Oryzias latipes: one gene and its partners. Each later gene encodes a partner of the first gene's protein in a complex. Links are inferred from orthologs where the notes say so. Each region holds a gene or a part of one and is shown in the gene's direction. Other genes may lie near its edges.

Region 1 (3,755 bases):
ATTGATCCATTATCATTATTTTTGTTCGGTTGTCAAAAAAAGAATAAATAAAAACTTGAATTATAAGAAAAACAACAATGGAGTTACGGCTCATTTTAAATGTTTAAACTGTTTTTCGTCCTCTTTTTCTGGTAAATTAAACTAATCGTAACATTAGTAAAAGGTTTTTCCACATGGTTCTAAAGTAAGCAAATGATAGTTAATTTTTAAGGTAATTGGATCTGTGAACACTGTGAATGTATAACTGCAATCCAGTCATCATAAATGATAATTTGAGAAACAGGTGTGTTGTGCTATTTGAACACCACAGATGCAGAAAGTTGTCACATTTCGTGTTTAACTAAAATTAGAAAAAGTTGAAGAAGGCCTGTAAGTCAGTATTCCGGGCTGCAGCTGTAAAGTTTGATCAAAAGTGAACATAAAACTGTGATTTTTGCTGTAATGACGTTATATTAAATGCCGACATCAAGAAAATGGATATTTTAACTAAAAGCAATAATTCGCTGTTCAAATCCAACAGAACATCCTTTATTGCATCTTCTTTCAACTATTTATAGTGCATCCAATTGCAACGCATGCAGACTAAAGTTTTTTTTTCTGAACTGACAGTTTAATTAAAGCTAGAAGTAATATTTTTTTTCTTTAACGTGTGTTTCTGTTTGTTAGTTTTTATACGTTTTAATGCTTGTACAGCTCTAAGTTAAGATTCGGTTTATTTTTTATGTTTCGTAAAATATTTACAATACTAAACATTTACCCAGAGTGCACTCTGGTAGACTTTTCTAGACGTCAAACAGAAATGACACGCTTGGTTTTCAAAGTAAGAGCGAACATTTAGATAACGTGTTAACATTTTAAGAAAAACACATGTAAGATACGTGATAACGAAGATTAAATTGGCATGTAATTTATGGTTTGGTGTTTTGGGAGAAACTTGCATAAAAAAACGTTGCCCACTCCAAGTCTCTTCCGTTCACGGGTTTTATTTTGAAACTAAAAACCGGAACAGCTCCCGTTTCTTCCCCTGTGGGTCGATCTGCACAGCGAAAGAAGCGAGGAGTTCTCTGCTAACCTCTGGATCCAAACTCGGCGGATTTTTTTGGAGATCATGCAGAAGCCGTGAAATGAGCGTGTGAGATGATATCACCTTCGGACGTGAGGATTACCGTCGATGCCCCGTTGATGAAGGCGCGCGGGACGGGCCTCCGGAGGAGCTGCTGCTGCTGCGTTCATAAACACTTCTTTAGGACTCACAACAAACCCTGAGCTTTGGTGCTCCTCAGAGCCCCAAGGCACCTGTGCACGTGCGGAGTAAGGATGGCTGGAGGAGGAGGTAAAGCGAACATGAAGCCCCTCGGCGGGGTTCACAGGCTCCGAGAGGAGCACGAGAAGGTAAGAGGAGCGCGTGAGCAGATCTGCAGCTGCGGGCCACGAGGCTTGTTTCCTTCTGAAAACATCCTCCTCTGCAGACATGAGCCGCAAATACGGAGAAAGAAGATTCGTTTCTTTTCTTTGCCCTGCTTCAGGTGAATTAGATCAACCCACAAGCCCCTCCCCCAAACCTTTACCTGAGCTTTTACTCCTGCAGGTTGTTTGGTTTCAGACTCCATGTTTACAGGCTGCCTTTGCTGCTAACTTCTGTTTTTTCTCTCTCTCTCTCTTTCTCTCTGTTTGGCTAATAAGGAACACAAAACTCAGTTTGATAGCATGAAAACATGTATGTTGTGTTGAACGTGTCATGTTGTTCATGAAAGCATTTTTTTCCTGCATCAGGTGGTGAAAGACTGTGACTCACGGATTCAGCATTGGTAAGCTGCACAGTCCTGAAAGTTTCTCCTCTTCTACGGTTTCCTCTCTGCTTTGAGTGTGAATGTGTACGACTTGGATATGAATGCAACAAAGACGCTCAAAGTTTGCAGGAGAATAACCCCCCTCCCTTTTTTTTAAGCTGCAGTCATGGATTTAGATGATCGCATTTTCAATTTTAGAACTTGACGGTTAAAGCTTCCCATATTATTTTCCTCATATGGCAAAGACAAAAGTTTTTCTAGGATTTAGCAGTCTATCGCCACAGCATGATACTTCCGCCACCCTGCTTTACCATGGAGACACGCCCCCACAGAAGACTAGTTTAGCTCCTAAACCGTCCCTCGCCCACAGTCGGCCCTGATGCAACATTTCCTTTTGTGGTCCGTTAGCAACTTCCATATTTTTGCAGAATTCTCCCCTTTTTCTTTGCTTTCTCTTTCATTTTCTAGGATGTATGAGAACAAAATAATTCAGAAAGATGCAAAAAACAAACCAGATCAGCCAATTTAAACTCCACTATCTGATGAGGTTGACATCGTTTACTCGCACCAGGCGAATAATCTTAAGAAATTAGGTAATAATTGGCGTTTATTTGTTTAGGGAAACGTTTATTTTTTCTGCTCTGTTTTTTTTACTATATAAACTATAAACTTTCAGGTTATTTTGTGAGTTATACTCTTGTAAAAATGTAGTTTAAATGCATTTAAATGTCCTTTTTTCCTTAAAGATTTTCAGCAGTCATTTATTTTGGTTTTGTTTACAGTCTTCATGAAGGCGTAAAAGTTTTTTTTAATCTCTAATGCAAGTTAATAAAAGTTAAGATGTTTTGGTTTAAAGTAGTTTTCCTTATAGATGATTGTCATTGCCCCCTTGTGGCCATCTGAGCAATAACATCCTTTAACTTTACTCATCATTTTATACCCAAATCGCATCAATTGGGTTAAATTCTGAATATTTCTGTGACCCGACCTGCAGGATGAAGGTGTCGGGTGATTACGACGCGCTCAGCGATCGACTCAAAACCCTCCCAGACCGGCTCTCCTATGACATCATGGTGAGCGCTCGCCGTTTCACTTGACAAGTTTACAGAGTGACCCAAAAACCAAAACTTTACTGGAAGTTCTGTGTCTCCCGTTTGCTCCATGTTCGCGCCCACTTCCTGTCAGCTGCTCTGACTAACCCGGTTCTGTTCTGTGGCCCGTCCGGGCCTCCTTGTGCTGTGAGCAGGTGCCCTTCGGCCCGCTGGCCTTCACGCCCGGCAAGCTGGTGCGCACCAACGAGGTCACCGTGTTGCTGGGCGACAACTGGTTCGCCAAGTGTTCGGCCAAACAAGCCCAAGCGGTGGTGGATCACAGGATGAAGCGTGAGTTTCTGAACGGCGGCGTGTGGCTGCAGAGCGGCGGCCTGTGGCTGCAGAGCGGCGGCCTGTGGCTGCAGAGCGGCGGCGTCTCCAGCGGGGGGCGGCAGTGCGTCACATTCCGACAGCCTGAGCTTTACTTTACAGACGTTTCTGGGCTCAGGATGAAGTACGTCTTTGTGTAAAAGCGTTTGGACTCGTTCTTTACGTCAGTGACGGCTGCAGGCTTAGCCCCCCCCCCCCCCCCCCCCCACCACCACACTTTTGTGGCCAGGTTATAGACCGCTATGGTCGTTTGGCGTGTTGTCCGGACGCTACAGCCTTTACCTCCACATAAAAAAACCCTCTCTGATTTGAACATTATTAGACTGTTTAGTGAAGCAGAAATGCCCCCCCCCCGCCCCCCCCTCTCCTGACCCCCGCCATCCCTGCTATTACACAGCTAAGTGCTGTAATGCAAACACAGCGAGCTGAAATGTGTCAGACAGCGGCTGAGCTGTCTGGCCTTCTGCGTTTGACCTTTCCTCACTTCCAGTTGATGCACTGACTGGAGGGGCTCGCCATCGCCATGGAAACAAGGGCCCTCTGC
Region 2 (3,140 bases), on another chromosome or scaffold:
CCAACAACTGCAAACTTTATTTTTTTCAATAATAATAGATCACCAGCAGCATAAATAAGGAAAAATACTATTTTAGCTTTCTCTCCATCTTAGGAGCTTCATGGCACAGTTTTGACTCAAACTGAAGAGTAAAAAAAACAAAACAACTATGAGGTATGCAAAAGCTATTTAAATGCTGAGAGACTTCAAAAGAAAAAAGGCAAAGACAAGGTTGAAATAAGCTGCAGAGTTCAGCAGGTATTTCAACATTCATTTTTTTTTGGTTGTGTGATCTTTGAGCAGGGAGGTGGGGGTTAGGTTGAAACTGCTTTTAAAGGGGGTTAAGCATCTGTTCGTCTACAGACAGATCAAGTCAACAAAAAGCTTTAGTCCCCGAAAAAATGCACTTGCATGTGTTATTTTTAATTTGATGATTCAACATCAGCAGATGAAAGCATGTCATATTATAACTAAAATATAAAAAAGCTAAATTATCTTAAGACAAGGCAGGTTGGTTTGTCTTCAGCCACTACTTTAGTTTAGTTTTACAAGTAAACAATGAAAAAATACTTTTTTAACTAGAGATACTGTTCCAGCCTAGCAACAATTGGCTGGAGGTGTATTTCCCCCCAAAAGCAATATTTTAAGAAGTGTTTCTGGGGTTAAAGTAAAGGGTAGGGTTAACAAAGGTGCAGCTTTCAGAGGCTCTGATGTCAGAAAAAAAAGGAAAAGAAAAAAAGGAACAAGACACAGACAGTTAATTGGGTGTTTTTAAAGACTACTTAATAGCTTCAGGTGGTTTTGAAAACTGATCAAAAATGATCAACATATCAGATGTGCAATGGATTCATTATTTAATTTATGCTTAATTGATTTTATTTAATCAGTGTTTCTTTTTGTTGCTTTTTTCTTATATGGAAGTGTCACTTTAAATGAAAATTAAAACCGGGTAGAAACAGAAAAGTCTAACTTCTTCTGTCTCGAACTTGCTTAGCTGATTAAATTTTAACCCAATTCCGTTTAAAAAACTTTTTTGTAGTAGCCCAATACTATTTTTTTAGTCTTAAGAAAGTAAATTACATCAAATCTGTTATTTAAAGACATTCTTATTCAATCTGTGTTTACCCCTTGGTTACCTATAATTTGGCAGGCCCCGGACCCTGAGATGTGTAGCGGGTGTTTTACAAATCTGGCCTCTAGGCGGCAGTGTGCTTCGAACTCCCCACCTATTTCTTCACCCGGAACGGTTATGACGCATATCCGGACATGTTTGTCGCAGAAGTAGACGCTGTTAAGAGAAAAATTAGATAAAAAGTTTTCCCTCGTGGCTCCTTTATGAAAATGTCTTCAAAAAAATACAATAACAGCGATAATTCCCAAGAGCAAACCACATATAAAGAGGAACTCAGTAAAAAGGTAACTTTATATCAAAGACGCGCTACTGTTAGCTGGCTAAACAACACGGATATGTTTATTCACCTTTTTCAGCATGTATAGTAGAACGGAAAAACGAATAGCAATACTTTTGTTAGTATTTACGCACCAATAGTATGTATTTACTGTTTTAATAAGTTTCGATTTTCTCATGTTTGCTGGAAAAATGAAGGACTGCTGATCTTTAAATTAAAACTTAACATGATGGGATACATCTCCTGATGGCTTCATCATCATAGGGTTGTTAACGTTAACTTGTTGCTAATTTCCAGATCAAAGAGCAAAAGGTCGTTGTGGATGAACTCTCTAACCTAAAGAAGAACAGGGTACGGTAATTACCTTTTTACATCCATCCATCCATAAATCCATCCATCCGTCGTAATAAATTCATTTTTTATTGATTTTTTTTTTCTTTTCTTCAGAAAGTTTACATCCAACAGAGAAACAGCAACATTTTCTTCCTGGCTGACAGAAGTCAAACATTGTCTACAAGCAGAAGTATGTGTTAGTATTCATTTATCCTCTTGCATTGAAATTTTTACAATGTTGTACCATACTACAATATAACTCACCTTTTTTTTTTTAAAACTTTTTTTATTTTTATTCTTGCAGAGGAACTGGATTACTTGAAAAAAGAACTGCAGGATATTTAGAGCTGCAACAATGTGTGGAATCTTTTTCCAGTTGACTTTGTCAGCTGCTCAATTTGAGAAGGACAAAAGAATTTATGAATTTCTGAAGAGAAGGGGCCCCAACTCTAGCAGGGAGCTATCGTTTCCTGCTGTAGATTTGAGCTATCACTGCTCATTTTCTGCCCATGTTCTCCATATGAGAGGCCTCCTTACTCTTCAGCCGTTTCAAGACGACGCTGGAAATGTCTTGATGTGGAATGGAGAGGTTTTTGGAGGGATTTCTGTGATGCCAGAAGAGAATGACACCACTGTCATCTGTCAGAAATTGTCATCTTGTAAAAACTCTTTGGAGGTTCTGGCACTTCTGTCTGCCATTCAAGGGCCTTGGGCATTTGTTTTCTATCAAAAGGCTGAAGATTATCTCTGGTTTGGGAGAGACCTTTTTGGAAGGCGCAGCTTGCTGTGGAAATATGACGCCGAGATCAGTGTCTTCACTTTGACCTCAGTGGCAGCTGGGATTTCTGCGCTGGGTCAGTCTGATTGGAAAGAAGTCCCAGCTGTTGGCGTGTTTAAGGTTGATGTAAAGGCAGCTGCACAGAGTGGTTCTGTGTCCTTTGAGCTTTTTCCCTGGGCAAGAAATGTCATAAACCCATCATTGAGTGAAATGATGGTTAACTCTGTCCCTAGTGGGTGCAATTTTGAGATAAATCGAGCAGGTTTATCAATCACTTCACCTGTTTGTCCTTTGAATATGTCCATTCCAGAAAAAAAGGTTGAAGTTAATCCCAGTTCACAGGTGTCTGGAGGAAATCTAGAGGAGTTTCTAATCAGCAAGGAGAAAACTGAAGTTGTGAACCGTCTAATTGGTGTCCTGAGTGAGGCGGTGAGGCGACGAGTTCATTCGTTGCCTTTTGTGGCAAAAGATAATTTACCTCTTAGCAGTGGCCAGGCTAGCATTGCTATACTCTTTTCAGGAGGCATTGATTCAATGATCCTCGCTGTCTTAGCAGACAAACATGTACCTGTTCATCAACCAATAGACCTTCTTAATGTGGCCTTTAAACTAAAAGAGCCAAAAAAGCAGCCTGAAAAGAA
Region 3 (3,688 bases), on another chromosome or scaffold:
TTTTGACAGCGACTTAAATAAAAATAATAATAAAAAGGCCCCAGTTATCGGAAAAAATCTATTTTGTTCATTGTAAGCGCACGTGACTCATTTCCACCCAGTGTTGTGAAACTCAAGTGGGTGGAGTCAAATGCTTGACAAGACAAGGAGGAAATGACGTATGAGGTTTTTCAAAACAAAAATAAAAATAAAATATAGGTCAAAACGTTCAAAAAAAGGGGGGGGGGTAGGAGATAGAGGTGCACGATATGAGGAAACTCGCGTTCTGCGATATCAATGATCAATATTGCGATGACGATATAACTAGCGATACATGAACAAATAGCAAAACAGCCAAAAGACAGTTTCTATTTCACTGCAACAGTTTAATTTAAAGAAGAGTCAAGATGACGTACTTAAATTATACTCAATGACCCTCGTCTACATTCTAAGATTTTATCTATTTTTATAGATAAAATGTGTCATAATTAAAACATAGAAGGTGATATATTTATTTATTATTAGCAAAATATACTAAGCTTTTTTAAAACCTAAATTCAGTCAGTAAAAAATAAATTTAGAAAGAGATTTTTAATTCTGAAGCAAATTTTTATTTTAATTTATTTTTTTTACCATAAGTAAATTGTCTTCAGATTTACATTTCCAATTAGCCGAAGTTAAAAAAAAATACCGAATAATTAAGAACATTTTATGAAGACTTAATAAATTCGCTCTGAAGATAATAACCTGGAGGACTTTTCTTTAAGAACAGTTTTTTTAAACGTCAACTCGATCAAACGCAATGCATTGTGGTATATAATATTGGCCAAGCCAGGAACCATCGATGCCATCGGATTTTTAGAAGAATATTAGTGATTTAAAAATACGAAAAGGAGAATAAATTGAGAAAGGATGGACGATGAAGAGGAAACTTACCGGCTGTGGAAGATCCGTAAAACAATAATGCAGGTGGATTAAATAAAAGGATATACTAGCTTAGCAGCGAACTAGCTGTTAGCTTCACATGTGGCTCGCGTTAAAGAGTCGCTTTTGACTGCCATTGTTAAAGTTGTAACTAAATCTTTTACGTTTTGTGTGTTAATCTCTTATTCTCAGTGCAAGTCGTTCCAATTACGCGCTCAGACTTTTTTTTTTAATTATTATGTGTAGGAATGATGCATTCGTTAGCCTCGTTTGAACGAAGGCTAACTTTAGCACACCCATGATGACCCATTAAAAAAAGCCAACATGTTTTCGTACATGTAGACTACATGTATGACAACATGAATGCTTCAAATCATTAAATACACTTTCACAAAGTTTGCTGCTAAACTGCTTTTAGATTTTTGTTTCTGTGATGTACTGAAATATAGTTATCAGCTCTTTATTACGTTTAGGCTTTTTTTAATCGACAATAATTATATGACATTTATGCAGAGAGTCAGGTTTTGCAGTGTTGGACTTCCTTTGTCAGCACCCCTGCAATTCGACTGGGCATGCTGTCAATCAACTTTAGGGCCAAATCCTGACCGATAGCAACCCAGATTGATTAAGATCTGGGGAGTTTCCAGGCCGTGGACCCAAAATGTCAACATTTTGGTCCCCGATCCACTTAGTTATCACTTTTGCCTCATGGCACGGTGCGCCATCGTGCTGGAAAATACATTGTTTGACGCCAAACTGTTGTTGGATTGCTGGAAGAAGTTGCTGTTGGAGGGAGTTTTGGCACCATTCTTTATTCATGGCTGTGGTTTTGGAGAAAAATGCGAATGAGCCCACTTCCTTGGATGAGAAGCAACCCCACACATCAAGGGTCTCAGGATGCTTTACTGTTGGCACGACACGGGACAGGTGGTAGCTCTCACCTTTTCTTCTCCGGACAAGCCTTTGTCCAGATGCCCCAAACAATCGGATAGAGGCTTCATGGGAGAATAGGACTTTGCCCCAGTCCCCAGCAGTCCACTCGCCATACTTTTTGCAGAAGATCAATCTGTCCCTGATGTTTGTTTTTGGGGTGGATAAGTGGCCATCTTCTAAAAGTCTCCGCCTCACTGTGCATGCAAATGCGCTCACACCAGCCTGTTGCCATTCCTGAGCAAACTCTGCACTGGTGGCGCTCCGATCCCACAGTTAAAACCCATTAGGAGACGATTCTTGGCACTTGCTGGACTTTCTTGGACGCTCTGAAACCTTGTTAACAAGAATTGAACCTCTTTCCTTGAAGTTTTTGATGATCCTATAAATTGTTGATTTAGGTGCAATCTTAGCTGCCACAATATCCTCGCCTGTGAAGCCATTCTTATGCAACGCGATGATGGCTGCACACGTTTCTTTGCCGGTCAGCATGGTTAACAGTGGCAGAACAATGATTTCAAGCATCACCCTCCTTTTAACATGTCAAGTCTGCCATTCTAACCCAACCGGCCTGACATCATGATCTCCAGTCTTGTGCTCGTCAACATTCTCAACTGAGTTAAAAAGACGATGACTGAAATGATTTTTGGGGGGGGGATTCATTTAATTTTCATGGCAAAGAAGGACTACGCAATTCATCTGATGACTCTTTGTAACATTTTGGAGAACATGCAAATTGCTATTATAAAATCCTAGGCAGCAACTTTTGCAATTTCCAATATTTATGTAATTCTCAAAACCTTTGGCCAACACTATACATATTAAAATGTTGTTTGTTTTTTTTAACCACAGCTCTGCCACGATCGAGGCTATCTGGTAACACAAGATGAGTTGGACCAGACCCTGGAGGAGTTCAAGAGTCAATTCGGAGACAAACCCAGCGAGGGTCGTCCCAGACGGACGGACCTTACAGTCTTGGTCGCACACAACGATGATCCCACTGATCAAATGTTTGTTTTCTTTCCTGGTAGGTTTATACTTGAGAATAATTTGGGAACTCATCCTTTTATCCATAAAATAACCAAAAGTTTAAGTTACACTCCAATCATATTTCGATTTATTTTTAAAGGAGTCCCCAGTGGTATTATATTTATGAATGCTCTGTTTTTAGCCAAATTCATAAAAACCTGTGTGGGCATCACTGTTGGCACGGACGTAAGCCCCTGCTGATATCCCATCATCCCTTTTTTGTTTACACACTCTCCCATTAGATTACATTGACTTTATTAGAGAATTGAGCCATGGTGACGTCGCCTTTCTTCCGGCTCCAGAGAAATGAAGCCAATAGACCCTTTTCATGGTGACGTCAGACAAAACAGAGACATGGGCGCCATTGTGTCACCGTACTTCTGGTTTTAGACGAGCAAAGCTGACAACTGAACGCTGTTTAACACCATTCTATGAGAAGAATACACACTAACCTTACCAATCGCAACGGCACTTTTTACATGATTTATTTTATAAATGTCATATCCAACTGTAGTCAATTTCCTCTTTTAAATCTTTCACAAGTCAAAATACAAATTTAAGTAATCCATCAATATTTAAGGTTCAGTTGAAAATATCAACCTTTCATTTGAGTCTAACAGGTTATATTTTTTTACAGTTTCCTATTCTTTTTATCATTTTTCTTTTTCGCAGATCAGACACAGTTATTGGCAATAGCAAAGAGGTTCAGTGTTAGAAAATATTGCAACCGTAATTAGTTGTACTTTAATATAAGACACACTGGAACTGTCTTCAATTCTGTCATATTTGTCCTCCATATTAAAAAAACACCGTTTTCACCGGGGTG

What was found.
Region 2: uri1 (region 1) and ASNSD1 upstream open reading frame protein share a complex: the UniProt entries of both Homo sapiens proteins name them as parts of the PAQosome complex. The link is inferred for Oryzias latipes from reciprocal best matches to the Homo sapiens genes URI1 and ASDURF.
Region 3: uri1 (region 1) and polr2e share a complex: the UniProt entries of both Homo sapiens proteins name them as parts of the PAQosome complex. The link is inferred for Oryzias latipes from reciprocal best matches to the Homo sapiens genes URI1 and POLR2E.

The regions. Positions count from the first base shown.
Region 1 is NC_019864.2:30,477,044-30,480,798, forward strand, and holds the start of uri1 (unconventional prefoldin RPB5 interactor 1), read left to right. Parts: upstream 1-999; 5' UTR 1,000-1,317; coding exon 1,318-1,392; intron 1,393-1,773; coding exon 1,774-1,808; intron 1,809-2,784; coding exon 2,785-2,863; intron 2,864-3,036; coding exon 3,037-3,172; intron 3,173-3,755. UniProt on the Homo sapiens protein: Involved in gene transcription regulation. Acts as a transcriptional repressor in concert with the corepressor UXT to regulate androgen receptor (AR) transcription.
Region 2 is NC_019879.2:16,672,434-16,675,573, forward strand, and holds ASNSD1 upstream open reading frame protein, read left to right. Parts: upstream 1-1,235; 5' UTR 1,236-1,314; coding exon 1,315-1,395; intron 1,396-1,685; coding exon 1,686-1,739; intron 1,740-1,835; coding exon 1,836-1,911; intron 1,912-2,025; coding exon 2,026-2,066; 3' UTR 2,067-2,076; downstream 2,077-3,140. Other genes in the region: asnsd1 (asparagine synthetase domain-containing protein 1), read left to right, coding at 2,077-3,140.
Region 3 is NC_019862.2:26,975,217-26,978,904, forward strand, and holds the start of polr2e (DNA-directed RNA polymerases I, II, and III subunit RPABC1), read left to right. Parts: upstream 1-774; 5' UTR 775-891; coding exon 892-948; intron 949-2,685; coding exon 2,686-2,860; intron 2,861-3,688. UniProt on the Homo sapiens protein: DNA-dependent RNA polymerase catalyzes the transcription of DNA into RNA using the four ribonucleoside triphosphates as substrates.